Nothobranchius furzeri: one gene and its partners. The protein of the gene in region 1 interacts with the protein of each later gene in a pairwise test. Links are inferred from orthologs where the notes say so. Each region holds a gene or a part of one and is shown in the gene's direction. Other genes may lie near its edges. The genes, in order: tex11, hyi, cdkn1a, zinc finger protein 414, mad1l1, necab2 and snx7.

Region 1 (3,937 bases):
ATTAGGACACCTGAACGGGATGAAAGGCTGCTTTGGGAATAATGATTATGTTTACTGCTCACCCTTGACTTTCTAACCAGAAGTTTGTTAGATCAAATCCAAGTAGATTTGTATCGTGGGTTTTGTATGTGATGTTGGTTTAGCCGGTTTACTTTAACCCTCCCACTGTCCTAATGGGTGTGACCCGTTGAGGAAAGCTGACCATTGAGCAGGACTGATGGTTTATCCCTTGGGTCCATGTGGCAGGGGTGAGGTGGTGCTCACTCCTCACCCCTGCCACATGGACCCAAGGGATAAACCATCAGTCCTGCTCAATGGTCAGCTTTCCTCACCGGGTCACACCCATTAGGACAGTGGGAGTGTTAAGTAAAATATAAACAACAAACATCTGCAGATGGTCTGACATGAACCTTTTTGTTTTTTGGTTTTACAAGTGTGGGAATAAACATGTTCACTGGAAGACTGATGAATAAAATACCCATTAAAGAATGGATTATGGTTATTATTACCACAGGCTATAAAAATAGTCCCAAACACATTGGCATTCCATGAGTTATGCAATGTTTTAGAGCCAACACCATTCTGATGTAAAATACAGGAAATGCCATCTTGTTTAACTAAAGTTGCATTCAAGATGTATTTGTTTGTTTTTGCTCTTTGACCTCTCAGCTCTCTCTGCTGTGCCCTACTGACCGCGTTCTGCTCATGGGCCAGAAGACTTGTCTGCTGATGGCCGCTGCCGCCTCTTTGGAGCTCTGCAGGAATTCTCCTTACTCCGCCCAGGTGTGCCACCCACTCACCATCCTATACATTTAGCACGCTCTCCATTAGAAAGGATGGAAATTTACCAAGACCAGCAGAGAGGAGAGGTGACTAACCACATTACTGGTGCAGGCGTAGGCGTTTCAGTTTAATCCCTCTCTGCCTTTGATAAGGAACTTAACACTAGATGGCGACAGAGAATCCAGAATCCTCACTCCTCTTGTTTGGCTCACAGGTGGAGGAGGAGCTCACTCAGGCTCTGGAGTACATTCAGACCTGCTGGGAGGTTTGGAAAACCCTAAAAGCATCAGGTGAAATTAAAATCGAACGCGGCTGAAGTTGGAAGAAATAAACCTTTCATGAAAAACTAAACATTTGTCCTCATGTTTTTATAGAAAGCTTTCCATCAGACCCCACAGAGTCACTCCTGCTGCTGTATGAATTTGAAACTCGCGCCAAGCTGAATGACACAAAAGTTGAGGTGATACTTGAGTCCGTACTGGAGCTTGAAAACGTTGAAGCCAAAGTGTTAGAGACCATGGCGGGTAAGAACATGCATCATCTGTCCTTATCAGACATATTTGTAGTTCTTGGTAGTATTTACCGCATGCTCTCATATCGCCCCCTAAACAAAGCCTTGGCCATGGAAGCTCCTGCCTACTTCCCTCGACTGTGTAAGAAGGCTCTGAGAATTGCTCTCTCTCTGCACAAGAAGCAGTCCCAGCCTGATCTGGCCCACTGCAGGCACCACTACACCACAAACATACACCACCCTCATCATTTCCTCTAAGTTACTGGGGTGGAGGTTGTTTCTGATTGTGCGGCTTGTCTCTGTCATAGCAAGTGCATTCATGACCTGATCAAGCTGTCCCTCCCGAGTGGGGTGGCAGAGGTGGAGGCCCGTGCGCTGGCTGAGGTGTGGGACTACTTCGAGGAGGCCCTGTCCATCATATCAGCTGCAGTGAGTCGGCACCAATCACACACAGACATCCCTCGGCTCCCACCTCCCATTTTCTCCAACAGAAATGTGTCGTGCTATGTAATTAAGCCCTCTCTTTCACACCATGGCTGCCTTCTCTTCTAGAAATCTCTCTCCTTCTCCTTTATTTATTTATTTTTAAATCAATGGGCTTTCAGCTGCAGTTCAATTAGCAGAGGCTTCCATTCACCGCCCCTTCCTGCCAGTTTCAATGTTAATATGCCGTACAAATCATCACACTGCCGGTGAGCTGCAGCTCTGAGATGTGGAATTATTCAGACATCATGCTCCTTTTGAGGCAGCACGTATTTCCTCTTTCAGAGGGAGTTCTCACTTGAAAGCTGTTTAATTCTTTGGATCAAAGTAAAGGGACAAGCTTTAAGTGTTGGGGAATCTGAATGGAGAAAATAAAAATAAAAATGAGTCAATTCACATTTTTCTTTCCTGTTCCAGTGATAGTAAAAGGTTAACACAACCAGCACAGGATTTGATGAAAGTTTACTTGCCTTCTTGCTGTTCCGTCGTTCTAAAGACAACTTTGTGAATTGAGTCACCCAGGTGGCCCCGTTAAATGGCCTTTTGAACATCTTCCTGCCTCCTATGCAGCCGGATGTCTTCCCAGAGATGGAGACCCTGTGGCTCCTGACTCAGGCCTGGAACACTGGCATAATGCTGTACAGTTTGAACCAGTACATGGAGGCTGAGAAGTGGTGTGGTCTGGCTATGAGCTTTGTCCATCATTTGGGATTTCTGCGGGAGAGCTACGAGGCACAGGTAAACATTATGGTTGTTATGACCCGGCTCGTTTAGTCTCCAACGGTTTGACATATTCCGGATGAGCCCCCATTTATGTTACGGCTCGACTCATGAAATGGCAAGATATAAGAGACTGATTATATTTCTGAGGTTTAGGGGCATTTTTAAAATTAAAAGCAGCCTCTAAAAGGCCTCACCAAAACAGGAAACTGGCAGGAGCTCTTAAGGTGACCTCTCCTGTAGTTGCACCAAGCAGGCTTTGTTCCTGCACCCACAGGTGCAGTTAGCGAGCCCTAACCCTAACCCACATGAGCACCAAATGATTAGAAATTTGGTAAATATACCTGTAAAAATAAGGTGAAATATTATGTCTCGGTCAATAATAAAACTAAAGCCGGATAAAATAATGCAACATGAGATTAATTTGGAAATATACCGAATGTACATCGCTCTCCCTTACTGGCTAAGGTCATTTCTTAACTTTGACAATCTGCATGCAGTGTCCATACAGAGAGTCTCTAGAGCTCTGCACTGCAGCTGGTGTAAATGCTCTGATTGGACACAACGATCATTGACCTAAACAGACTGCATCCATTCCACATTCAGCGTGAAAGTCAGTGTTGCCAACCAGAACACTGCTTTAGCATTAAGATGAAATCTGTTAACCGTATCCTTTAAGACAAATGTATTTTCCTCTTTTCAAAAGGAACAGATGTTTCTTGTGCGACATAGAGGTTTTATCTAATGCAGATGTTTGTGTGCAGATGTCGGATCTCTACAGTAAAATCCTGGACCAACTGGACAAAGCAAAAAAGAACACCATGGAAAACTAAAAGGCCAGGTCAATGGTTCCCATCTGGATGATCAACTGTGTTCCGAGTCTAAACTTCAGCCGAGTTAATCAAGTTTGTTAACGGCACCTTTTCCTGTTCTTTGTTAATGTCAAAATGTTTTACTGCAAACCCATCGTAATGCTTTCCTGATTAAAAAAAATACAAACTCTTAAAATTGTAGTTTGCAATGATTTGACTTTCAAGCCCGAGCCAAAGCTGCTCAAACCGGAATAACAAGCACATCCAAATCATAACTGAGTCACATATTTTATTTTCAAACAAATAAACTCTTGTCAAGTCCCAAAATAAACCCCAAACAAAAAGTTGCAGGACTGCATTCCCTCATGACTAGGACAGGGAAGACCATGAGGCCGAGTGTCCTGATAGGCTGTACCACCTGCAGTGACAGGAAGGAAACTACTGTACAATCAAAGGGTTCATGTTTGCAAGCACTTACTGCACATGTGTGCTAGAACAGAAACATCATCACCCAAAAGTACAAACAAGAACCCTGAAACCTACCCCACCCATAAAATAAAAGCATGTCATTATTTCTCTCATCAGAACGACCCTCATCAGTTACACACAGAGGCATTCAGGTTCCATC
Region 2 (3,254 bases), on another chromosome or scaffold:
TGAGATATTTGACGGCCTTCATTTCTGTGTTCTGCTGGTTCTTCTGCAGCGGCAGCAATACTGGAGAGTGTTGGAAAACCCAACATCAAGCTACAAATGGTGCGTATGTTGGAAATGTGTTTCAGTTTGAGAGAAAACGTTTGTTAAACATCCCACCTCTTTCAGGATGTCTTTCACTGGCAAATAATGGATGGAAACCTCACACAGAACATGCACAAGTATTTCCCCCTGATAGGTGAGTCCATTTGAGGGGCTGTGAACGAGCCGTTTCTCCCCTCCCTGAAAACACTGATCAGGTGATCTAGGTGGGCCGTCCTCTCACCTGAAGCAAAGCTTAAAAAGCAACTGCAAGCACTTTCAAACAGACTTGAATCTGCACCGAAGGGCCTTGAGTGTCTGTTAGTGCTTGTTTTTGTCTTCTTAAACTTTTGCTTTGCACTGTCTTCCATTTGGAAAGAGAAGGAAACTCATCTGTGTGTAATCCTGTTGTCTTGTAGCTCCAGTTTGGGCCAGCTGAAAACAATAAGTGCAATCAGGGGCTGTGATTGAGCTGTTTCTCCCCTCATCAGGTGCTCTAGGTCTCAACCATTGCAATCAGCTGCTGCATGAACACCTGTTTCCAACTAGTCTCTCTGACATATAAAAATGGATGAAATCCCACCATCTCCAACTCAACCTCTCTAAAACTGAACTACTTGTCACCCCTTTAAAGATCATGTCTGTTGCTCGTTCATGCCGCTTTGCACTGTATAACATAGGAAAGATCAGACCATACCTAACACAACATGCCGCCCAGCTCCTGGTGCAATCTACTGTCATCTCCTGCCTCGATTACTGCAATGCCCTTCTAACTGGTCTTCCAGGCTGTACTGTGAGACCTCTTCAAATGGTCCAGAAAGCAGCGGCGCGTCTGGTCTTTAATCAGCCAAAAAGAGCACACGTCACCCCTCTGTTCATTGAGCTCCACTGGCTACCGCTAGCAGCACGCATCAAATTCAAATTTTTAACACTAGCATACAAAGTCCGAGACGGTACGGCTCCCATCTACCTGAATCCTTTTGCAAAGGCTTACGTCTCGTCCCAGCTGCTGCAGTCATCACAGGATCGTCGGCTAGCAGTGCCTACACCACGCTCAGGACGATCCAGACTCTTCTCATGCATCGTTCCACAAATGTGGAATGACCTTCCAAGCACTACCAGAACAGGGGCTTCCTTTTCAATTTTCAAGAAACTCCTGAAGACCCTGCTCTTCAGAGAGCATCTTCTTACCTAGCACCCTCTCTGCACCCGTACCTCCCCTCTCTACTGTCCATTCCTTGTTCCCTCCTCTCCATGACTGATGTCAAGTTGTTGTTGTTATTGTTGTTGTTAGCCTCAAGGGCAACATGCCGATTATCACTTGTAAGTCGCTTTGGACAAAAGCGTCTGCTAAATGCATAAACAAAAATGACAGATGAGATCTCATGTCTGGTCTTATCTTCAGAGGCATCGACGAAAGCCGAGTCATCTCCTCTTTAGTATTCCTGCTGATGGGTGGCAGAGGATCTAAAACTGGCTTTGAATTTTAGATCTTGGTTTTGACCAATATATCTTATGCTCTGGTCTATAACATAGCCCAGATGAAGGTTGGTGGAAAAGTAGTTCTTGTCATCCAGGTGGCAGAAAAATCCTGCTTTGTCAATTATAAAAAAACACATTGGTTTCATTGTAGACAAATTTTACATTTTATATGCATTTTCTTTTAAATATGCACCTAATAGCTTATATCTGTTCTCAGTGTTCCTCGCATACAAATGTTTAGGGTTTCTGGCATCCTCAGGCCTCTGATCTGCCTTCATAGATTCAAACATGGTTTCAAAATCTGCCCTGTAAACCAGTGTGTTAGCTGCTCCGGCTGGAGAAAGAACCAGGTGGTTATTGGGCAGAACATTTAGATGGCTCCAACTAAGTTACGCTGGTTCTGACTGGAGTTCCACAATGAGTCATACCTCATTTATTGGTGTTAAACACAAAGTCCACTGGCTTGTATGTTCATGTAGGACAACATTTGTCCAGCTGAGCTAAGCATGCACAAATAAGACAAGGCTTCTTCTGAATGGTTCTGGTTCTCAGGTCATGTTCAGGTCGCCCAGGTTCCTGGCCGGAACGAACCCGACTCTGACGGAGAGCTGAACTACAGCTACCTGTTTCGTACGCTGGAACACCTCGGCTACCGGGGTTACATCGGCTGTGAATACAAACCCTTTGGTCAGTCTTCCCTCACCTCTAATAGTTGATCCACTAATTTAAAACATGTCGGCTTATTGTCTCATCTGTCTACTGCAGAGTCCACCACCAAGGGTCTGGGTTGGATCCAGCAATACTGGACACACGGAGCACAATGAGCTCAGACAGAAGACACCTATCTGGAGTTATTTCTGTTTTAACTGCAATGACCCTATAAAGATGATCAGCCACAACATTAGAACCACTCGGCCCAGCTCAGCATTCCTTTGGAGACAACCAAGTCCTCCTGGTGGGGCAGGGGTTCATTGCTGTATGTTCTGAAGGACCATCTGAAAACATCATCAAAACTCAGACCAAGTCTTGTTGAAGATATTAAACTGAATAATTTAATCTTTAGTTCTATAATCACGTGTAGAACTGATGCCTTAATATGCACAAATATTAAACATTTAAATGTTAACGAGACTTCGATGTAATGTACATGATTACATTTGTTTACTGAAGAGGTCTGCATGACTTATTAGGGGTGGAACAAAATGAAGGTTGATAGAGGCTTTAAAAATGACCTGTTTCACTTCGACAGCAAAGCCACCCCTGAGCAGCTTCTTGTTCCTTTAACCACAGCTGCTAATAACATTAAGTAGAAGGTTCCTGAGACCAAAGCCCACCTAGACCTCATGTACCCAAGAGGAACTGTTCCCCCAGTTGATCAGGTGGTAGAAAATGAGCCAAGGCTGGAGTTCACCTAAATGCTCGAGCTCCTGGGAGAACACCTTTTGAACCGACGAGACAAAACTGGAGCTTTTGTTAAATCACCTAAGCTGTAAGAACACTGGACCTAATGTGGAGACTATGTTCTGGACCTGCTATGCTGCATCTGGACCAGGATGTCTTAAATCTGTTTAAGGTCCAATAAAGTCACAGGTCATGACTCTTCCAACAAGATGAGGCTAAACCTACAGCTAAAAACACCCAAAAGTGGATCAGAACCAAACATTAAACTATTCTAATGTGTATTAACCCTGAAC
Region 3 (3,450 bases), on another chromosome or scaffold:
ATCAGTTACCTCATTCTCAAACTTTGCCTTACATCACACTGAAACTTGGAGACAAGCAGCGAGGAGGTGGAAAAGCTGACTCAGTAGACAACAGCTTTAAAAGAGAGGAGATTTAGAAGCGAACTGCACCTGATTTGGCTCAACATGTAAGTAAAACACATTAAAGATGTTATTTTATATGTAAGAAGTTAGTAGTTGTTAAATTTAAAAGAGCTTCTAAGCATCTGAGTAAGATTTATGATTTCACAACCTTTAAAACTCAACACACACACACACACACATATATATATACACTTTTGTAGCTCATTAATAATTGTATTCTAAACATTTGAAGAACAAAAACGTTTTTACAGGACTAATGTGTTCCTAGAGGTGTGAAAAGTTGACATAAATGGATCTTTGCGATCTCATTTTTGCACATCCAGGAAATCCATAAACTCTTGTTTGGTGGTTTTAGTTTTTTTTACATGTCTGTGTGTGTGTGTGTGTGTGTGTGTGTGTGTGTGTGTGTGAGAGAGAGAGAGAGAGAGAGAGAGAGTGGGTGAGTCCAAACTGTGACATCCCAGTTTGACACGAGTTCCAGACTCACGTGGAGCAGAGTTGTAGCTGAACTGGGCTGGGTCCAACTCAGTCATGCATGACTAGCTCTCCCGCCAAAGCTTGAGTCACTCCTCCCAGAACCACCCTGCCCAGTAAAAGAAACGCCCTCCCCCTTCCTCTGTGGGACCAGGGCAGCGCAGGGATCCAGCAGGGATCCTTCAAACCCTTTTATTAACCTAATGATCCACCCACAATTGGGGAGCTTTATTCTGAGCCCTGTGCTGTGGGTGGGAGCGTTGAACACTGCATACATAGTCTTAGTGGTCATTAGATGTGTCCAACAAACCCATTTTTTAGTAAACTCTGATACAGACTGTAGTCAACTGACTTTACTACGTAGATAATTTTGATCAAAATGCAAAGGGCCCTTCTTTTTCTCATGAACAAACCAAACTGAACTCCATGATAGGAGCCAGATCAAGCTAAAATAGAGACATATTTCACTCTCATATTTTATGAATCAGAAAAAAGGGTTTGTGCTTGTGTTTGTATGAAAATAAAAATCAGAATCATATCAGATTATAACAGATGACTTGTTTCATTGACACATTTTTATTTATAACACTAATCAGTATTTTACTGAAACGCATCTTCACGTCAAATTGAAGCAGATTTTTCCAGATTCCGTTTGCAGATAACTGGAACAGCTTCTGTAAAATAAGCTCGTGTCCTCTTAATCACTGATAACGTATTTTATTCATCTCCCAATCTCATCTGCTGCACCGTAACTGGACGGGCAGGGACTGTTTTCCTTGAATGCTTCCTTCCTTCTTGGATGGTCTGAATGACCTGTTTCCCAGGTCAGAGTCAGAAAACAGTCACATGTTTCCCTCAGTTTCAACGTAAACTGAAGATGAATTATTTCTCTGGTGTTTGCCTCCGAGCTGTCTGTAGTCGGAGTGACAGTGCCACCTTGTGGTTTATCTCTCTTACACCAAACACCACAACAGCAGAGGACTTGCCCTTACATGCCTGTGAGAGATTATGCCCAGACATGTACCAGAGAGGAGGGCTAGTGACTCACTGCTGCTGCTGCACTGCATTATAAAAGCCCGTCAGCTCACAGAAGCAGTCTAGTTCACTGAGGAGCTGTTAGGCTAGAACCATGGTGAGTCTGACTAAACTTTGTTTAAATCACTGGTTTGAAAATATTAAAAACATTTAGTTTGTGTACTTTTTAGACTGTGGACAAAATAGATTGTGGCTTTTGAAACTAATCAGTTTTCCTGTTTTTACCTACAGTGCAGAGGGATGGCTACACTTCACAAGCGAGCCCTCAGTACTCTAAGAAGGAACGGTCCCCCTCGGCGGAGCCTGTTTGGCCCAGTGGACCGAGAACAGCTCCAGATGGAGTACCGGACTGCCCTGCGTAAAGATCTGGAGGAGGCTTCCCAACGCTGGGGGTTCGACTTCTTCTCCGACAAACCTCTGGAGAGCGGTGATTTCCAGTGGGAGATTGTCCCAGGTACCAGGGTGCCACTGCCCTACAGATCCAGCGTCATCTGTGCAGGACATGCAGAGGGTCAAAGGTCAGCAGGTGCAACCAAAAGAGGAAGGGTGGTGGTACCAGAGAGGGAGAAAGAGAACTTCCCCCAAACTCTAGAGAAATGTTCTCTGAGTCTGGAGAACATGGAGACAACATCAGAGACGGAAGACAAATCAGGAATGAAGAGGAAACAGACAAACATTACAGGTATGTTTAGATATTTTTTATATCAAATTAGAAACACTCATCTTTTCTCATAAGCTAAGTATCCTCTTCTTTAACCCAACAGATTTCTATCAGGCTAAAAGAAGAGTTGTCTGGCTGCCGAGGAAATCCGGGGAGTGATATTTCCTTTGAAGGTGCCAAAACTCCCAAGAGAACCAGACAAAGAACCAGCACCTCCTTCAGGAATCAGTTGTTCCACACCGAGCAGCGGGAGTGCTGAATCATCCAACAAAAAAAAAACAAAAAAAAGAAAAAAAAAACCCAGAAGGCACCAGGCTAATTAAGATGCTGCATGTGTGAGGGGTCTGGTGTTTTCTGTCCACGCTGCAGTTAAGAAGGTGACATTTGAGCAGAGAAGATTAACAGTAATCTCTGGAATCAGTGGATTTATACTCATTTGGACTGAGAGCTCGCCAAATTGCTGACTGACATTTGTTACGGCGCGTCACACAGCTCTTAACCCTCTCGGTCTCGTTTTGATAAAAGGACGAACAACTAAGTCCTTCAGGGGTGCTTCTGAGTTAAAAAATGCTCATGAGATACTTGTGTGGAGTAACCAGGTAGGTAGGTTTTAACTGTTGCAGATCTGCGATGCCTGCCTCCAGAGGGTTAAAACACAATCACATCTCAGTTTGGTGGGACTTCTGCCTGTTTGAGGATGAAAAGCAGACGTGCGAACAAATATCAGGACTCAGATTAATACGTTTCTGTGGCAAAGCCGCAGGAAAGCTAAAAACAGGAGAGCTTTGTCTATTTTGTTCAAATCTATAATTGTTTTTCTACGTCTTTTTATAGGAGTTTTTTTTTTAAGTGCATTATATTTTACATCGGGGGTTCCCAATCCTGGCCCTGGAGGGCTGGTATCCAGCAGGTTTTGTGGTTTTTCTGCTCCAACAGACTTGATTCAGTGGTTGAAACGCCTGTGCAGCAGCTCATCAGGCTCTGCAGAAGCCTGTTAATGAGCTGCTGATTGAAATCAGGTGTGTTGAAACAGAATTCAAACTAAAACATGCAGGATACCGGCCCTCCAGGACCAGGATTGGGGACCTCTGCTTTACGTAGTCATCGGAAAACGGCTTATGGAGTTGTGATATATCCTTAAACATGTGGTTGCATTGCTTAGACTATAATCAGCAGAA
Region 4 (4,387 bases), on another chromosome or scaffold:
GGGTTTCTTCAATGTGTCCACTGAAGCGTCCTGGACTACTGGGTTCAAATGCATTGCTTGGATCTGTGTCTTTGCTGCTTCCGCTGACCTGCAGATTTCAATGGCTTTGTTCAGAGTAAGGTCTTTTGTCGCGAAGCAGTCTCTCTTTCAGACATGAGTCATTTATGCTGAACACCAGCTTATCTCTGATCATATCATCTACATTTTGACCAAACTCACAGTCCTTGCTTTTTTGATGCAGTTCAGTAATGTACCTGTCCACCACAATTCCTGGTGACATTGGGTATGACCAGAATTGATGACGTTCAAAAACCACATTCCTCTGCGGGCTACAGTATGTTTTAAATGCTTTCAGGACCTCCTCCACTGTGAGTGCATCTCCGGCTGGGGTAATGTTGAGTGTGTTGTACACTTCTAAGGCCTCCTCGCCGATAGTGTGAAGAGGCTATTTTTACCTCTTCCTCCTTTTCTGATGCGCCAGTGGCTATCATGTAGAGCTGGAACCTCTGTTCCCACCTGCGCCATGCCTCAGACAGATTGCCGACGAGACTGAGTGAAGACGGCGGCCAAAACTGCTCCATTTTATCTTCTTGGTAGCAGACGTTAGCCCCGATGCTTATTCATCTAGCTTACTCAAACCGTCGTCTCTGTTCTCTTGGCAGCCAAACTTCTGACACCATGTTGTGTTACTGGTCTCCTTAGGTCTTCTGTAGGGTTTCTACTAGGTAATTAAACACTGAGACACAGCTGTTTAGGTCCAGCGAACTTTTACTTTCAGCCTCAACTCTTCAACCCCAACAGCAACACATGTGACACTAGTGCCCCCTAGTGATCACCGTCATAACAGCATGTACATTACAGTACAATACACCACACTTCCAAGACCATTTTTTATCGTGGACACATTACCGTCAGACTAATATTTACTGGATGCTATACATGCAACTACTTGTCAAAATAACTATAATAAATGTTGACATATAAAAATATATCTGAATGGATTTTAAGGGAATTCTCTGTTACATATTTTAACAAATTTTACACGTCTGAGCGCGACAATTTTTGGCCTACCACATTGCCATGGTGAGTTTGCTGCTTATTAGATGAGGAGTCATAAATGGTCAAATAAATAGCCCTATTGTTACATTTATTTTGGCCAAAAGGCTTGCATGTAGCCCATTAAAAATTATATAAAAAATATTTTGCGTCCATGACGTCTTCCCCCACTGCCAATAATGCTTAACTTTATAGAAAAGTGTTTCAGAAAAAAAATCACTAAGGCGCTATCTATCAAACTATGTCTTAAACGTTCAAATTTAACGTAAAAAATCGTTGCATGTTGTAAAAATATAAATCTGTCTTTACCTGAACCGTCATTTCCACCTGGTGTAGCAACACGCATGCGAGTTCGTCTTCGAACACGCAGGCGTATTTTGTAGGGGCCACAGGGGCGTGGTTTGTAGTGGCTGCGGCTGCAGCTAGACCTTACTCCAAAATGAAGCTTTTTGTCTTTTTGCTCATTTGTTTACTTTGATTCTGTTTGGGGTTTGTTTTTATTTTATTTATTTATTTGTTGTTGTTTGTACTTCCTGTTCATTATCCTTCTTCTATACGTTGGAATTCAGTCTGTTCTGATACTATCTCATGTTGGTAAAACTGATTCATTGTAGAGATTGCCATAATTGTTGTAGATTAAATTTTGTGCAAAAAAAAAAACTTACTCCAAAATGAAGCAAGCGACACGCCCCCTTCCTGCTCGAAGCCTCGCTTCGTTTGTTCCATCACTACCGGAAACACACCACACAGCTTCCGCTGCTGTGGTTGAGCTCAACCTACAGTTATGATGTCTCCGGTGTTCCCCGCCTTGCCAGCACCTGAAGATGAGAACGGAGGTTTGTGTTTTGCGTTGACGTCCTCGTAGTTGGTTTTGTTATTCCAGTTCGTAACAAAGCTAACGATTGCTAACCAACTTACATTGCAGTTAGCATAGCAGCTAGCATAGAAGAGGAGGTTCGAAATGATTGATACATATCTGAAACTGGATTTCTTCAATTAAATAGCCAGCTTTTCCGTTTACGTTGAACATGTGTCGTTTGTTTAAACATCACTTCCCTGTTTTAGCCCCGAAGAGGGTGGCCTGTCCGCTCCACGGGTGTAAGCGGGCTTACACAGAGATGAGCGTCCTGCAGAATCACATCAAGGACCACGAGATCGCGGCACAGTCCCTCCCAGGTGAGTCCATATCCTGCTTGGTCCATAAAATATCATCTCAGAGCGGGATAAGTCAGAGAGAGAGCCTGGATCATCCTTAGATGATGTCTGATTAGGTTGACCGTGAGTTATTAAAGCCCCCGTGGTCGGGGCAGCTGGCAGTCTGACCCAGGTGGTTCGTGTGTGACAGGAGGTGAGGTGATGTCATCAGGTGAACAAGGTGTCTGCTGTCCACAGGTAAGGTGCTGCTGTGCTCCTCCGCTGGCTGTGGCAGGTCCTTCCCCAACATGCAGAAGCTGATGGAACACATGAGGCATCACCATAAGCCCAACATCTACTTCCAGTGAGTGCTGCTGCTCAGCGTTGCTGTTTTTGTTCTGGTTAACTCCATGAAGCTTCTGCTCCTTCAGGTGTGAGAGCTGTCGCACAAAGCTGCGGTCCTACCGTGGCCTCCTGGCACACCTGCACACCTGTTCCAAAGTGCCCCGAAGCAAATCAAAGGCTACTGAACCAACCCCCCCTCTGTCTGCTGCTGCTGGTCCAAATCTGACCACTAATGCTGCAGAGCAGCAGCCCCCCCACTTAGAGTCAGTTTGTTCAACCCAGCAGGTCTCCGACCCACAGGAGTCCCTCTCTGCTGCTCCTCTGCTGGACTCCGCTGACCCCCCTGTGCTAGGCCCCCCCATCCTGCCTCTCCAGGAGCCTGTCCCCCTCCCTTCGGGCCCCTGTCCCACCCCCTCTCATGACTCTGATACTCCTGAAGCCCAGAGCAGGACCACGGGGCCTTTCCCACCTGCTCTTCACTCTCCTCCTGGCTCCTCCGCTGTCTGGAAGAAGAACCAAGGTGAGACTTTTTCTAGTTTTCTGAAACCGGCTCCCTCCCCTCAGCCTGCTCTGTGGGGCATCCATGTTCTCCTGGTAAGCTCCAGTATTCCCACAATATCTTCATTAACCAGGAGACTGCGCTAGATGACCCTGGTCCTCTTCAGCCTGTCCCTTTGGCTCTTTAGATGAGGTTGAAGAAGGCCATTAAAACCTCAGAACACGACACTAATGTACTACATCTACTGGTCAGAGTTGTCGCTGACAGCAGTTACCTCTCACCGGCCTGTCTGAATAACCGCTGCAACTGTCGCTTTTCTTTAGGGACGTCCTGCAACAGACGTGTCCTCTGGGAACACACTAGGGGGCGCTACACCTGCGTGCAATGTGGACACACGGTGACTAACCGTAAGGAAATGACCCAGCACATCAACAGTCACCACAGCGGCACCAAGGTGGCACGGGACCCAGGAAACAGCTGACGCCGCGGTCCGGGCCCTGGTTTACCGTCAGCTTTTCTGAGAAAGTAAACTTGATAAACATCCTGTTGGGACTCTTGGATATTAGGGACCGACTGCTAAAAGAGTTTCTCCACCCGAAACTGAAATCTTGTCTGTACTTATTTCCCAGAGCTAGATAAGTGGGAGAGAGCAGCCCGGTCATTCTGCTCTCCTTTAGCTTAGCATAAAGCACCGTAATTAAATGATCCAACTAGCATCGTGAGCCCTTCAAATCCCTCCGTAGTGATCCCAGTTCTGCTTGGTGACCTAAATCAGACGGACTGCAGGTGAAAATCATCACAGGCGCCATTTTAGATTGAACCTTACTGCTTTGGCATATCTAGTTTAACGGTGTTTATACTAAGCTAAAGCTAACGGCGTACAGCCAGGTTAATATGGGTGGCCTGTCCCTGTAAAGCTGCCCCAACCCTGAGACCCATCGGCAGGTGTGAGAACCTAAAGGAGCCCACAGAATAAAAGCTTGTTGTTGAAACCTTTACTGGTCCAGATTTATTCAGATTCATCACAAAAAATACAACCTTTTTCTCTTGTACGTGTTGTAAATGCAAAATGTGTTATTAACTGAAAAGATTTCCATTACAAAGGACTGGTCTGCAGCGGCCCAGTAGAAGACCAGTAAGGTTTGTGACTTCTAGGAAAGGAGAATTAGTTACCAACCCGTGTTTTACACAGTCGTGAACAAGAGGAGCACAGCTGGCTCCGTCAGAGGGAGCAGTCTCATCCCGGCATTTACTCCGCTCCTCCACCCGTTACTACACACTACCACATGCAACGTGTCACCACCTTATCTAGCAAACATTAGGGGCGGTCACCCTGTCGTGGTTTCAGACGAC
Region 5 (4,592 bases), on another chromosome or scaffold:
TATCTAAGTCAAACATTTCATTTGGTGTCATTTCTGACATTCTTGAACTGTGGCATAAATATTTGACTCTAAAGCTGCTCAGCGACATTAAACACTCATATATGAACCCATTATGTATTTTATTATTACATTATGTGTCCTGTAGGTTTTCAGTTCTTTTTTAGATTTTGTGCAGCGGCCGCAAACTCACTGATGCACCTGCAGCCTCTCAGAGTTCCTGCTGATCTAAACATTGAAATAATTATTTCATTTTCTGTTCCTCACTTCTGATTACCTTCATTGGTGTCTGTTTGTAGCAACCACCCGATACGAAAACAAACTTGTTTTTTATGTGACTATTTTCTGTCCTGTCTGTTTATTATCTTCCTGCATCCCCCCTCAATCCTAAAGAAAAACTGTTACCTGTTTTCATATTTTTCACTTCATGAGTTACCTTTGAACTACAGTTCAAAACGATCTACCGACCGCGAAAATAGCGGAGTGAGCGCTGACCGCACCTGTGAGGTGAATTCACTGGAGGACTAAACAGGTGATGCGCTCTGCACCGCAGCAATAAAACGCATCAGGCACAAATAAAAGACAGAAAGCATGAAAGGATATGAGCAGGCATAAACAATTGCGTGTTAAATTTGTTTTTGAGGTGGCGACACTTTGAGAATGTTACTGTGGCCGTGCTCAGGACACGTCTGTCTGGAGCGCACCAATGATCAGAGCTTTGCGCCTCTCAGCTCTTACTTAAATTAAATATCCCTGGAGAATCCACATAGACAATGTAATATACAGTGGGGCAAAAAAGTATTTAGTCAGCCACCGATAAGTTCTCCCACTTAAAATGATGACAGAGGTCAGTAGTTTACATCATAGGTGCACTTCAACTGTGAGAGACAGAATGTGAAAAAAAATCCATGAATTCACATGGCAGGATTTTTAAAGAATTTATTTGTAAATCAGTGTCTCTCACTGTTGAAGTGTACCTATGATGTAAATTACTGACCTCTGCCATCATTTTAGTGGGAGAACTTGCACAATCGGTGGCTGACTACATACTTTTTTGCCCCACTGTAAGTAGAACCAGGATCGTTTCGGGCTCCCCCTGGGTGTGTGTTGAGGGCTTCCAGTTTGTTGCGTGAGTCGCCGGATCCTAGCAGACAGTGGCCAGAACAGTCCTTTCAAAATAAGATAGTTCCCGGATCTTGTAAGCCCTGATTTTAGGTTTCAAAAGCATACACAAATGTGCAGGTCAATAGTATTCTTAAATATATTGGAATTTCTGTGGTAAATAAAATTTAAATAAAATCAGATTTAGGTTTGTTTCCAAGTTTACACAAATTAGGGATTTTGTCTTTATGCAGAAAAATGTTAGCCTGGCCAGCAAGACTCCTCTGTTTAATTCTACTCGTTTTCTGTGCAGAATTAAACAGAGGACGAGTCAGGTAGGCCAGGCTAGAAAAATCTATGCAATAGAATATACACACATCCTTGAGTTAGCCTACTGAAATGTCCTTTTGGTCACAGAAAAGCCCAACAGCTTTAGTCATGTAATTCATTTAATAATTAAAATGAAAAAAAAAAACTATTACTTCTATTGACTTGCTGTATTCTTGTATTTTTATTTTAGTTTTTCTGAACATTGCTACAAAACACGAATGATACATTTGAATTGAAGCCACAGAAAATTAACAGGAAAAAAGAAAAAGATAGAGAATGATAGTCTCGCGATGTTACGTGCATCCCATTCGAGTAAAACTGGAGGGCTTTCCAACGAGCAGCTAAAGTGCTAACTCGTTAGCAGTGGGGATAACTTATCTGCGACAGACCTCCACCTGTTTACAGACGTTTATGTGGTACGGTGTTATGTTGCCAAAAGTTGTACATTGATGAAAACTTTAACATTAATAACTTTGTGACGTGTTTTGAGAAGCTGCATAAACGCCGTTAGTTCTAATGTTTAGCTTGTGTAGCTAGTCCATGGCTAAAAACAACAGTCAAAACCTCACCGTCTTGGAAATCTTTAAAAAGCAGAAAAACCGAACTTGAAAACGAATCAAATAGCCTACATGTTAGACATTCTATCTACTTGTTTGCTACTTGTTCTGCTTCCATTATTGAGCTAATCAAGGAAGCTAATGAATGATTATGCTACAAATCCACGTTATAAAGTTGATATGCACTTTATTCTGTTTGTAATTTTACAAAGACATGCTAAGCAATAGAGCACACACATAGATGGTAAAGACAGTGTTGTGACTGCTTATTAAAGGACGGAGTTTTAGTTTTTCTCTACTTTTATTGAAAATTGCTACAACTAACCTTGTTATATGCAAAATTGACGTTTTTATTGGAGAGATAAGAAATACATTTTAAAATTAGTTGGTGTATTTGACTAATAATAGCTGTGTATTAATACTAATGCAAAAATTTCTAGCTAGTTTTAGGTTTACAGCATTTTTTAAATATGGTACTTATGTGAAATTATGCTCTTGTCCGTGTTTGTCATTGAGGAAGTTCTGATGTTTCAATCTTTTTCATTTCCAGAGTTTTTTTTAAATTGTGTGCAGTCAGTAACACCAGTGGTCTATACAATGGATTTTGAAGATGACACTACTGTGTTAACAACTTTGAGGTCTTTCAATACCTTCATAAGTCGCCCTGAACGTTCTCAGCTGCAGTCGGAGCGATCAGCGGAAAGTGGAAACCTGCAAAATCAGTACAAACGCCAAATGGAGGTAAACAGAAATCCTTTGCTTTATCGTCAATTCTAGTAAAATCAATATTTAGCTATAAGGCAGGTTAATTCTTTTGTCTTTGTTTTAGCTTTTGGAAGCAGCAGAGCGGGTTCACACTCAGCATCGCTATCTACAGCTGGACCAGGAAAAGAAACAGATGGAACTGAGTCACAAAAGAGCTCGTTTTGAGCTGGAGAAGGCGGTCTCTGAAAGTGCACGAGATTTGGGGGTACACAACTCAAATATAGCAGCACATTGATTTATCACAGTATAAAATGATTGGTTGATGTGTTTTTATTAGATGTACTACACACAGAGTTTTCTTCAGTGTTCTTTTATCCACCTTGTTTACGTCTTTCTTTCTTTTTTCCAGCATGAAGTGGACCGGAATCAAGAACTTTTGGGGCGCATTAGAAAATTGGAGGAAAGGGAGACCGAAGCCAAAAAGAACTTGTCAGAGCAGTTGGAGGAAAACAGTTCTCTGTGTAAGAAAGTGGAAGGTCTGAACAAGAAACTGGAGGAACGAGACACTCTGCTAAATGCAGCCAACCAGGTACGCACAGACTTATTTTGTGTTTCTGGCTTTTTTTTTTGGGCTCACCACTCATGGGAGGGGCCAAAAGGGTCGGGTGCAATGTGTGATGGGTGGTAGTCGAGGGCGGGGACCTTGGCGGTCTGATCCTCGGCTACAGAAGCTGGCTCTTGGCACATGGAATGTCACCTCTCTGGTGGGGAAGGAGCATGAGTTGGTGTGTGAGGTTGAGAGGTTCTGACTAGATATAGTCTGACTCACCTCAATGCATGGCTCTGGCTCTGGAACCAGTTTCCTTGAGAGGGGCTGGACTTTCTACCACTCTGGAGTTGCTCCCACTGAGAGGCGCCGAGCAGGGGTGGGCATACTAGTTGCCCCCCATCTTGGTGCCTGTACGTTGGAGTTTACCCCAGTGAATGAGAGGGTAGCCTCCCTCCGCCTACGTGTGGGGTGAGGGTTCTGACTGTGGTCTGTGCTTATGCACCAAACTACAGTTCAGACTACATACCCTTTTTGGAGACCTTGGAGGGGGTGCTGGAAAGCGCTCCTTCCGGTGACTCCCTCGTTCTGCTGGGGGACTTTAACGCTCATGTGGGCAACGACTGAGACCTGGAGAGGTGTGGTTGGGAGGAACGGCCCCCCGATCTGAATTTGAGTGGTTTTTGTTATTGGACTTATGTACCAGTTGTAACGGAATCAAATCATCATCATCATCATCATCATGGATTGTCCATAATGAACACCATGTTCAGACATAAAGGTGTCCATATGTGCTCTTGGCACCAGGATACCTTAGGCCGCAGCTCGATGATCGACTTTGTTGTCGTTTCATCTGACCTGCGGCTGCATGTCTTGGACACTCAGGTGAAGAGAGGGTCAGAGCTGTCAACTGACCACTACCTGGTGGTGAGTTGGCTCAGATGGTGGGGGAGGATGCCGGTCCGACCAGGCAGGCCCAAACGTATCGCAAGGGTCTGCTGGGAACATCTGGCAGAGTCTTCTGTCAGAAGGAGCTACAATTCCCACCTCCCACAGAACTTCCAAAATGTTCCGGGGGAGGTGGGGGACATTGAGTTTGAATGGACCCTGTTCCGTGCCTCCATTGTTGAGGCGGCCGACCGGAGCTGTGGTCGCAGGATCGTCGGTGACTTTCGTGATGGCAACCCCCAAACTCGCTGGTGGACACCGGCGGTTAGGGATGCTGTCAAGCTGAAGAAAGAGTCCTATCAGGTCTTTTTGGCCTGTGGGACTCCAGAGGCAGCTGACGGGTACCGGCAGTCCAAGCGGAACGTGGCTCGGGTGGTTGCCGAGGCAAAAGCCCGGGCATGGGAGGA
Region 6 (4,438 bases), on another chromosome or scaffold:
TGATCCGGAAGGCCAGGGCTCCCGGTCGCGGCGGACTGGCCCTGCTTGTAATTTAACAGTCCCAGTCCATATTAGAGCTCACATTCGGCTTAGAGACGAGTCCGCAGGCAGCCACACCCCTAACCCCCACCGCTCTCCCAATGGGGAGGGCCGGCAATTCGTAAGAATGCCAGGGCCGAATTTTGGTCCCAGTCCACCCCTGCTCATTACTCCACTTCCAACAACCAGCGCAATTTACGTTCCAGTAGCTTCATCTCTAAAGTTATTCCCAAAGCTCGCACCTCCTCTGGCCGCTCCTCATTCCAGTTTGCTGCTTCCAACGACTGGAATGCGCTGCAAAAAAATCACTGAAGTTCACACGATCCATTATCTACCTTCAATAATTCATGGGGATCAATAGTTTCTGATCAATGTGCTTCTGAGTACTTAAAGACAGTTTTAAATCTGTTTCGACTGATTTTACACATTATATATGAGAACAATCCTAACTGTTTTATCAGAATTTTATCTCACCTGTTTTGTCTGTGGTGTAAAGCTAACTGCTGCTGCTTCCTCTTGGCCAGATCGTCGTTGTAAAGGAGAATGAGTTTTCAATCCACTCATCCATTTAAATAAAGGTTAAAATTTAAAAAATGTAGGTGATTAATGTGGTTTAATTCATTTGTTCAGTAGCAAGAAAACTCCTCTTGCCACTGCACGCTCAGTTCCACATGGGGGCAATCATGTCAAGTGACTGGGTTTTAGTTTCCTGCTGTCATGGGGCCGCTGAGATATATAGATCTATTTGTCTTTTTACTCACTTCACAGCCTTTCAGTTATTTTGTCAACTTCCCAGCATGTCTTAATTTGTCCAAACCAGCTGCTTGGTGCTGTTGGACATGTGGCGGACTGAAGAAAAGTCTCTCCAGCAGCCGGAAAGGGCTGGGCTGGGGAGCCTCTCATTACTAAAGGTTAGATCTGTCACATCACACATGCACATAAAGCTCTAATGAGCAGCTGGAGTGACAGTTCAGGGGACTCCTTTTGCTAAAGCCCTCTGATCCTCCCTTTGGGATGCAGCACTTCCTGCGGTCTAAAGGAAGAGCATCTTTGTTCAGATTACACACTAAACCTTAAAGGGGGAAGAAACAGCTTTTGTGTTGCTTTTTCCCAGAGGAGCGATGCACGTCCAAAGGCTTCATCCTTAGATGCACCAAACAGAAGTGTTTAAGTCATAATTCAGATGCTACTGGGTACAGGATGGATGCGGGTGCTTCTGGGGTGGATGCTGTGATGTAAGAGGAGGTGGGGGTGGGAGCGCCTCTCTCTCCCCCATAGAGCGCAGCATGAGCGCTCCGCAGCAAAAGGATGTGTGAGCAGGCAGCGCGCTACTGTAGGGACGGAGTCCACAAACTGCTGAACAAAGAACAAGCCAAACTTCGAGCCCAGGAGAGCCGAGAGCAGCCGAACCCCGTAGCCGGTCAGGACAGCGAGTCCGCGACGGCAGCGCAGTCCGGAAACAGCGGCGCCCAGCCCGGTGGAATCGACGGGCTCGTCCGCTGGATCGTCACCAAAATGAGCGACAACAAGAACGTCTCCAGCCGGGAGTACGCCTCCAGCAAGGAGGAGGTGGCCGTGGCCCAGGAGCAGTTCTTCGCCCCCGAGCCGCGGAGAGGCATCTCGGTGATTCTGGATGTGAGTATGAGGCACCGGGAGGCGGCCAGCCCCGCCAGGAGCGGGTGGGTGCATGGAGACATCCAGGGAGCGGTGCGCACTTACGCACAGACAGTTTAGGTGTCCGGGATCAAACCGGCGTCCCTCTCCTCTGCATCTGCACCATATCAGAAAATTCAAACTTTGCACGTTTTAACTGTCAGTCCACATAAATCCTGAGGCTCTCCAACTGCGCTGCAGACATGTTCCTGTGTTAACCTTCAGAGTGATAACTGCGTGCCTGTAGCATTTCTGGTGTTCAGGTCAGCCCAGTTTTATTTTACTGTGCTTTAAAACGAGTTGATCTCAGTAGAAAAAAAGAAAAGAAACGTAGAAACACGTTGTGTAGACCTCCCCCCCCCCCCCCCAACTTGTTATAAATTAAGATTTTTCAAACGTTTTTTTTTCTTTTTTCCTCTCTATCATACCATACCACTTTATTTGTAGAACGCTCTTAACACGGCACTACAACCGACCAAAGCGCTGGACATAAAGACAAATAAATAAAAAACAAGCTAAAATAGTCGTGCATATCATAAGAAGTAAAAAGGATAAGAGTTAAAGAACAACAAACTAAAGCCAATAAAACAAGTAAAACCAGAATATAAAAACACAAATTTTAACTACCTGGCAGCTAAAACTGTTTCCAGCTGAGTCTCTGACACCAGCCTTTGAACTTTTTCTGACATTTTCTTCTTTCTGCATAACTTTGACCTTTCAAACGTGAATTTTCTGGCCCCTTTCCAGCATATCTGACCCCAATATTCTTACTTTACACCAAATGGGCTTCCTGGTGTGTCCCTGAATGCAGCATTTCCCTCATTAGACCGACTTGTTCTCCTTCTCTGAGTCTACCGTGAACCCATTTATTATTCCGTCTCCTCTCTTCCAACAGAAGCATATTCCTAAGGTGAAGGCATGCCTCCTCTTTGTGTCTTTCTCTTTAGTCGTGTTTTTTTTGTCTCTTTCTGTTGTAACTCTTCACCATCACCTCCTCCTCCTCCTCAGTGAGACTCTTTCCCTCCTTCCCAAGCTTCCCTGACTCCAGCAGCTCCAGCTCTGTTCTGAGAAGCTGAACATGGCCCAGGGTGCAGATGCAGAGCAGCTTTTCAATTGGAGTGCGGCTCTTTCAGCTCCTGTTGCCCTTTATTTAAGAGTTTAGTCACAAAAATGTCTTGATGAGTTTCTGTGCAATAATTTAGCTGACTAAACTAAAAAAAAAAGTTTTTGGGTCGTCACGATCTGTTTGCCCATTAACTTCTGACTTTGGTCACTACTGTTAACATTCATCTTATTCAGAAGATCATGTCTTTGAAAAGCACATTTTTTTTTAGATTTCCTGTAATCTGACTAATCCAACCAGACCAAATTCAAAATATGTGACTAAAGATCACATCCTCTCGTTTTATTCTACAAATATCTTCTTTAATATTGTTTTAAAATGCATCTCATGATCACTCAGCACGTCTTGTCCTGCCGGTGGCTCGTGTGTCACTCATCCTCAACCTCCATGATGAAAGTATTCTAAAACGTTGAAGGTCCTCGGAGGGGGGAGCTTTCCCTAAAATGATTCAGATTCACTCCCAGCTTGTTCAGCTGCAGCTGTGGTTGGTTCGGTTTGGTGTGGTAAGCTAACTCCGGTCCAGCTGTGTGGGATTCAGTCTGATCCGTTACCAGTTATTCACCAGCTGGTTTCTGTTTTCCCAGCATGACTCTTCTGTCAGCTGGAAGGAGGTTTATGACACAAACATTCACTATTTTATAGGTTTCCCTCCTTAAACTCCTGAAAACGGGAATCTATGGGTTCCATAGAGGTTTTTATTTTTAATTTTCTGCTTAAATTATTTCTTGGAGGCAAGAATAATAAGTAGTTTCCACTGGTGAGAAACAACATTATTTTAGTGACCCAAACAAGAAAGAAGAAACCCCAAAAGTAAGCCCTGAGGGACACCTTGAAAAACAATTACACTAAAGCTAATTTAAATTATTAATAAATGTTTAAAGAAATTACAGATTTGTGAAATAATCCAGTGTTTAGGTGTTAACATTTATTAGATGAGGCTGTTTTCAGACACACAATGCTTCAATTTAACTCTTTAGGCTTGAAATATGAAAAACTAACGATTGAAAATACTGAGTTTAAAACTAAATAAAACAATAAGATATGGTGTTACTTTAAGAAATACAACAAGATTAAGAAATAGTGCTTGATGTGTCTCAGGTTAGGACTTCATACCTGGTGGGTTACTGGTTCAAACTGGTTTGATCAAGTACTTTTGTGAATAAAAATTCATATTTCTGTACTAAGTTGTTGCAGAAAATCTATAGGAACTCACACAAACTGGATAATCAGATGCTGAGAGGTTTTTGGAACGTTGTTGAAAGGTTCGCTCCGTTCTTTAGTCCGGAAACATTCTTGTTTAGCAGATGATACGCTACTGTACTTACAAAAGAGAACTCTCAAAATAATTGGTTTTATTAACCATCTTGGTTTATTTGCACATTTTATTTAGTATTTAGAACCTAAATGTAAATGTGAAATAAACATTTCCCAAACATAAGTTGTGTTTAGAGAAATGCTTTCTGTTTGTCACTAAAATGTCCTTCTTTCTGTCGTTCACAGATCTTCAGAAGAGCCGACAAAGATGGTGAGTGATGTTCTGGACTGCTGGCTTCCTGTAGCCTGGCCAGCCATGCCAACGTTTCCTTATGTAGAACAGACGGGCCAGGCTAGGTTTCCCAAGAC
Region 7 (4,737 bases), on another chromosome or scaffold:
ATCAGTGTGTGGATGTGTGTGTGAATGGATGAATGATACACTGTAGTGTAAAGCGCTTTGGAGTCCTTACTCTGAGAAGCGCTATACAAGTGCGGGTCATTTATCATTATCATCTACTCACACTCTCCCCCGCCCTCAGCGAATGCCGTTTTTCCATGCCCATCCTGATGTTCATCTCATGCACAAATCATGCCCGCTCTACTCACACAGAGCTTCCAATCACATACCAGTTTGACAAATCCTGTAACAACATGCATTACTTAAATGTATAGAATCACCTACTGGAGGATAGCACTTAACCATTATGGAATTATAAAGGAGATCTGCTCACATCACTCCAAGGACTGAAGGTAAGGCTCCAGGAATAACCCTTTAAATGTGTGATGCGGACTGAAAACTAGACACATTACGAGTCCCTGTCAGATAAACACGACCCACTGTTAAACTCTTTTGTGAAGTTTAACTCACTCACATTTCTAATAAAACACAACTTTTAAAGAACATTTCTTACTTTTGAAATAAGCCACCCACTTTATTAACTTAATAATTCCTCATTGTGTGTTGTTCGTGTTATCTTTGCACACGTTCATGTTCAGATTCTTCCTTTGAAGCCATGGCCCCATTGATTGTCCCTGAATGCAGCACTACTTTTGGAAACAAACATTTATCTATCAGTTAAAGATCTTATTTTTCTGGTAAATTTAAGGTTTTACTCTGGACCTCCGACATCCGTGCTTTTAAATACGAGGCCTTTCCACACACATCATGTTAACATTGGAACATCTGGCATCTGGGATTGCATTTACTTTTATTTCAAACCTCCCTGACAGTTTTACCTCTGTCCCAGACTGAGGCCAGATTCTTGCGCCAGTGCGTCTCAGACGGTTGAATCGGTCTCTTCCGCATTTCCGTTCGGTCCTGAATCTAAAGCAAAAATGGTGTGTAACCGGAAGTCTGGTATATTTATTTTCCAAATAAAAGCATAAATAATTTCGGATACTGGGTTGGCGAATCACTGAAATTTGTTTTATTACTGACTAGTTTCTAGCAACCAGTCAAATCTGCATTAGAGATTTCATGTTATTTTCCCTGTAATAAGTCACATGAGAACAGAAATGGCTGCTCGTGTTTTCTCTTCTTTACTAAATCCCTGAAAAAAGCCCAAAACTAATTGTCAGAAAATATAAAATCCCTGTTCATTGGCCCCAGGAATAACTGGTTTGCGACCTAACTTTATTCAATTAAAATGACCAAGTTGACCTAAATGTTAAAGAAAACACTACCTGTCTGACAGGCTCAATATGTGTCATGTTTTTTTTTCACCTCCCATCACCTTGCTAAAGGTAATCAGATGGAGTCCATACTTCATAACATCACACCAGGACTACTGTGTGTGACACCTGCAGATAAGCAACAGGTGCTTCACTTGGCAGTGAAATTTTGGACTGGAACTAAACAGGTCACACCATCTTGACTGACCTTCCTTGTCTTCATGTTTGTTTTAGGATAGATTTCAAGGTTCTCTTGTTTGTTTTCCATACTTTGTCAGTAGGTGATCTCTTCATCTACAGGGGCTTCGGTGCCATCATCTTCCCATGCTGCCTTTGTGATTGGCTGATCAGTGTTTGTTAGTTGGACCCGGTTTCAACCTAGTTGCCCTAGAGTGTGGAATGGTCTACCACTTGTCATCAGGCAAGTGTGCCCCCCCCCCCCCCCATCAGTGGTGATGATGATGATGATGATGATGATGATGATGATGATGATGATGATGATGATGAGTGGTCTAATGAAAATGAGCACCTAGTGAAAAAGAACTAATTCCAAACATCAGATATGTCATATTCAGCTATCAGCGAGTTTCTTGTTTCAAATACATTATAATATAATACTATATTTCAGATCAGTGTTCGTGAGCGTTTAGCAGTTTGAGATCTGAGGAAACTCCTTAGGCAGACCAGATGTTTTTATTTTGAAAGACCCTGCAGGAAGTGCTGTTCCACCAAACCTCTTGTGTTTGTCTCACAAAACTTGTGCAGGAAGTTTGACTCGGAGTAGACAGCTGATTTGTAAAAGTTGGACAGTGTTATGAGTGGACACACGGTCCCTGCGGACATCTCAGACCACATGTTGGACTTGGACGAGGACGAAGACCTGGAGGTTTACAGTAAGGTAAAGCGGAGCTCCTTTAAACCGAATAAACTCCCTCAGTCTGGTTTGCTCTGGTTGCTCTTTAGCCTCATCTCTCTGTAACTTTTAACTTAACACATAACGACTTAAAAAACAGAAACTTAGCATTCCCTCAGAACGTCTAGAATCAGGCGACTCTTCAAAATAAAAGTCTTGTCCGTGCTGACTCCAGAGTATTCAGCTTTCCGCCAAACTCCGTTCAGATTCGGAGTGATTGGGGGATCAGTTGGCAGGACCTAAAAACTTTAATCAGATTCTTTATTTATACTAAAACAAGTGGTTCTGTCGTCAGTTCGGCTCACCCTGGTGAGCTGATTTCGTCAGTTCTGTCCGAAGATGTTGGCTTGCTTTTTAAAGTGAGTGAATCTACATTTATAACGAGGGGCGGAGATGAATGGGAGATGGTGTTGAGGCCTTCAGAACCGAACCGGGACCGGTGTGTCCTACAGCTGATGGATGGTTACAGCTCCATTCCTCACATTTTAAACTGATTACAGAGGTTATGGCAGCATTTCTGACTAAAAGCGCAAATAATTGAAGAACTGGTTGTGAGAATTTACAGATGCAGTGAATAAAACATTTGCAGGAGGTTTGTGTTCACATCTAACCTGCTGTAGAGTACTTAGGCAGGTGATGTTTAATGTTTTCCTCTGCTTTTATCCTCAGCGGTGATCTGTTAACGCAGATTGATCAAATCAAAATGTCAGGTGGTTTTCTGGATTAAAGTCCAGATTTAAACAGCCTTTAACTTTACACACACACGGGGTTTCCTTTCTTTTATCTTGTGTGTGTGTGTGTGTGTGTGTGTGTGTGTGTGTGTTTACAGGATTGCTATAAAACACAATCCTGACAGAACAAAGATGGAATCAATCAAATGCTCATCCGCAGAGACAACTCAAGTATAGAACAATATGAAAACACACCAGCATACCGAAACATTAGCATAAACAGAAATGGACTAGCGTTTCTGCCTCGTCCTATTGGTAAAAAGGGAAGCCACAATTTCCCATTTAAAGGAGTAGCCCAATGGCAGCTGGTGGAAAAAAATACTTAAATATGAACAGTTGAAAAATGACCATTATTCCAAAACAATCATTCAGTACCTTCTCCAAGTTTTACAGAAGATAGTCAATTTTGAAATTTAAAAATAAAGTAGAAAAATAATAATACTCTAATAAGTACACAAGCCTAAATGTGAGCCTTTCAGAGCAACCGCAGGCAACATGTTCCGTTTTTCTTGTTATTCACACTTTATTTTGTCCTTAGATGGTTTTCCAGCTTTCGGTCTCCAGCAGCCTCTGTGTCTCAGTCATCTGCTCAAACAAGGCATGCGAACCCCAGAGCACTTTACTCAGCACCACCAGTAGGTGGCACTAACACGACATAGATATTTTATTGGATATCGTGTTTTAAACCAGCGTATAAATGTAGAAGACTCGTTGCAGTCGCTAAAATCAGATGGCTTACCAGGCTAGCATTATAATCACATAATATGAGAACAAAACACATTTTTACAACAGAAGCTACAGGTCTGATTGCAGCTCTATCAACTGTGTGCATTAATGTGAACAAGGGCGTGAGAGCGAGAGGAGAAAGGAGATCAGGCACCATCTAGCAGGCTAGCTAGATGGTTTCTGTAGCTGAGGTGCTGTCGAACAGCTGTGGTGGACCACAGACACCTCCAGAACATGCTGGATGTTGGCCCTGGAGGACCTGGGTTTGAGGATCTGTTTACTTTACAGCTTGTTGGTCTGATCCACACACTCTGTTCTTATTTAGCTGATAAAGAGTCTTCAGAGTAAACTGAACTGTTTAAGGTTTTTCGCCTCATGTTCAGTCTTCGCTGGTGTGTCAGAAGGCAGCTGCAGCTAATGATGGTGGAATTCTTTCCTCTTGCTCAGTGGAACAGAGGAGCTGGGTTTGGACTTGTGTTGCAGTCAGACCTTTAGCTGCAGAAGCTGGGTGTTGAAACCTGAACTCCAGCTTAATCTGCTGCCCCTGGCTGCTCTGGTAGGTAAACATTCCTGTTGCTTCAGCCCTGACCAAAACACTTGGTGTAAAGGTGTCTGGTTTTGGTCAAGTTTGGCTCCGGTCACGGTGATTCTGTGCTAACGCTGCAGACATAGCTGTGTTTACAGCCTCACGATGAAGAGGACGAGTGTCGAATATCTGTGAACTCAGCAGGTTTTCAGCTCTGATGTTTGCATAAGCATTATAATTTGAATATGACAACAACACATCTACAGGGTTTTTGATGAGTCCGTTTGCTTTAATGTCCAGTTCAGGAAGTTCTGAGTGTGTGTGTGTGTGTGTGTGTGTGTGTGTGTGTGTGTGTGTGTGTGTGTGTGTGTGTGTGTGTGTGTGTGTGTGTGTGCGCGTGCGCATACACACACATTTCCTTCTGCTAAAGTCTTTAATAAACCCACGTCCACGTCTCTTCTGCTGATGGGTTTTCATGTGAAACTGTTAACTGAGGCTAATGCTAGCCTCTTTGTTCCAGTCAGATAGTAGTTTTCCAAGTCCAAACCAGTTGTCTAAGGTCCAAACACG

The links.
Region 2: the proteins of tex11 (region 1) and hyi interact in binary tests that used the Homo sapiens proteins (3 or more experiments, as listed by UniProt). The two-hybrid records come from large-scale screens. The link is inferred for Nothobranchius furzeri from reciprocal best matches to the Homo sapiens genes TEX11 and HYI.
Region 3: the proteins of tex11 (region 1) and cdkn1a interact in binary tests that used the Homo sapiens proteins (3 or more experiments, as listed by UniProt). The link is inferred for Nothobranchius furzeri from reciprocal best matches to the Homo sapiens genes TEX11 and CDKN1A.
Region 4: the proteins of tex11 (region 1) and zinc finger protein 414 interact in binary tests that used the Homo sapiens proteins (3 or more experiments, as listed by UniProt). The two-hybrid records come from large-scale screens. The link is inferred for Nothobranchius furzeri from reciprocal best matches to the Homo sapiens genes TEX11 and ZNF414.
Region 5: the proteins of tex11 (region 1) and mad1l1 interact in a two-hybrid assay, tested with the Homo sapiens proteins (2 studies listed by BioGRID and IntAct). The two-hybrid records come from large-scale screens. The link is inferred for Nothobranchius furzeri from reciprocal best matches to the Homo sapiens genes TEX11 and MAD1L1.
Region 6: the proteins of tex11 (region 1) and necab2 interact in binary tests that used the Homo sapiens proteins (3 or more experiments, as listed by UniProt). The two-hybrid records come from large-scale screens. The link is inferred for Nothobranchius furzeri from reciprocal best matches to the Homo sapiens genes TEX11 and NECAB2.
Region 7: the proteins of tex11 (region 1) and snx7 interact in binary tests that used the Homo sapiens proteins (3 or more experiments, as listed by UniProt). The two-hybrid records come from large-scale screens. The link is inferred for Nothobranchius furzeri from reciprocal best matches to the Homo sapiens genes TEX11 and SNX7.

The regions. Positions count from the first base shown.
Region 1 is NC_091741.1:84,252,027-84,255,963, reverse strand, and holds the end of tex11 (testis-expressed protein 11), read left to right. Parts: intron 1-669; coding exon 670-783; intron 784-997; coding exon 998-1,073; intron 1,074-1,157; coding exon 1,158-1,307; intron 1,308-1,397; coding exon 1,398-1,506; intron 1,507-1,602; coding exon 1,603-1,723; intron 1,724-2,347; coding exon 2,348-2,515; intron 2,516-3,261; coding exon 3,262-3,330; 3' UTR 3,331-3,372; downstream 3,373-3,937. UniProt on the Homo sapiens protein: Regulator of crossing-over during meiosis. Involved in initiation and/or maintenance of chromosome synapsis and formation of crossovers.
Region 2 is NC_091756.1:55,263,555-55,266,808, reverse strand, and holds the end of hyi (putative hydroxypyruvate isomerase), read left to right. Parts: intron 1-49; coding exon 50-99; intron 100-165; coding exon 166-235; intron 236-2,112; coding exon 2,113-2,247; intron 2,248-2,325; coding exon 2,326-2,384; 3' UTR 2,385-2,691; downstream 2,692-3,254. UniProt on the Homo sapiens protein: Catalyzes the reversible isomerization between hydroxypyruvate and 2-hydroxy-3-oxopropanoate (also termed tartronate semialdehyde).
Region 3 is NC_091743.1:46,701,200-46,704,649, reverse strand, and holds cdkn1a (cyclin-dependent kinase inhibitor 1), read left to right. Parts: upstream 1-1,574; 5' UTR 1,575-1,705; coding exon 1,706-1,708; intron 1,709-1,842; coding exon 1,843-2,293; intron 2,294-2,375; coding exon 2,376-2,431; 3' UTR 2,432-2,742; downstream 2,743-3,450. UniProt on the Homo sapiens protein: Plays an important role in controlling cell cycle progression and DNA damage-induced G2 arrest. Involved in p53/TP53 mediated inhibition of cellular proliferation in response to DNA damage.
Region 4 is NC_091749.1:7,742,965-7,747,351, reverse strand, and holds zinc finger protein 414, read left to right. Parts: upstream 1-1,617; 5' UTR 1,618-1,840; coding exon 1,841-1,892; intron 1,893-2,121; coding exon 2,122-2,232; intron 2,233-2,448; coding exon 2,449-2,554; intron 2,555-2,621; coding exon 2,622-3,055; intron 3,056-3,357; coding exon 3,358-3,515; 3' UTR 3,516-3,747; downstream 3,748-4,387. UniProt on the Homo sapiens protein: May be involved in transcriptional regulation.
Region 5 is NC_091744.1:8,655,244-8,659,835, reverse strand, and holds the start of mad1l1 (mitotic spindle assembly checkpoint protein MAD1), read left to right. Parts: upstream 1-1,709; 5' UTR 1,710-1,844; intron 1,845-2,535; 5' UTR 2,536-2,582; coding exon 2,583-2,726; intron 2,727-2,814; coding exon 2,815-2,955; intron 2,956-3,099; coding exon 3,100-3,279; intron 3,280-4,592. UniProt on the Homo sapiens protein: Component of the spindle-assembly checkpoint that prevents the onset of anaphase until all chromosomes are properly aligned at the metaphase plate.
Region 6 is NC_091744.1:83,491,353-83,495,790, reverse strand, and holds the start of necab2 (N-terminal EF-hand calcium-binding protein 2), read left to right. Parts: upstream 1-1,229; 5' UTR 1,230-1,347; coding exon 1,348-1,674; intron 1,675-4,315; coding exon 4,316-4,340; intron 4,341-4,438. UniProt on the Homo sapiens protein: May act as a signaling scaffold protein that senses intracellular calcium.
Region 7 is NC_091747.1:35,677,773-35,682,509, forward strand, and holds the start of snx7 (sorting nexin-7), read left to right. Parts: upstream 1-1,898; 5' UTR 1,899-2,085; coding exon 2,086-2,169; intron 2,170-4,737. UniProt on the Homo sapiens protein: Involved in the regulation of endocytosis and in several stages of intracellular trafficking. Together with SNX4, involved in autophagosome assembly by regulating trafficking and recycling of phospholipid scramblase ATG9A.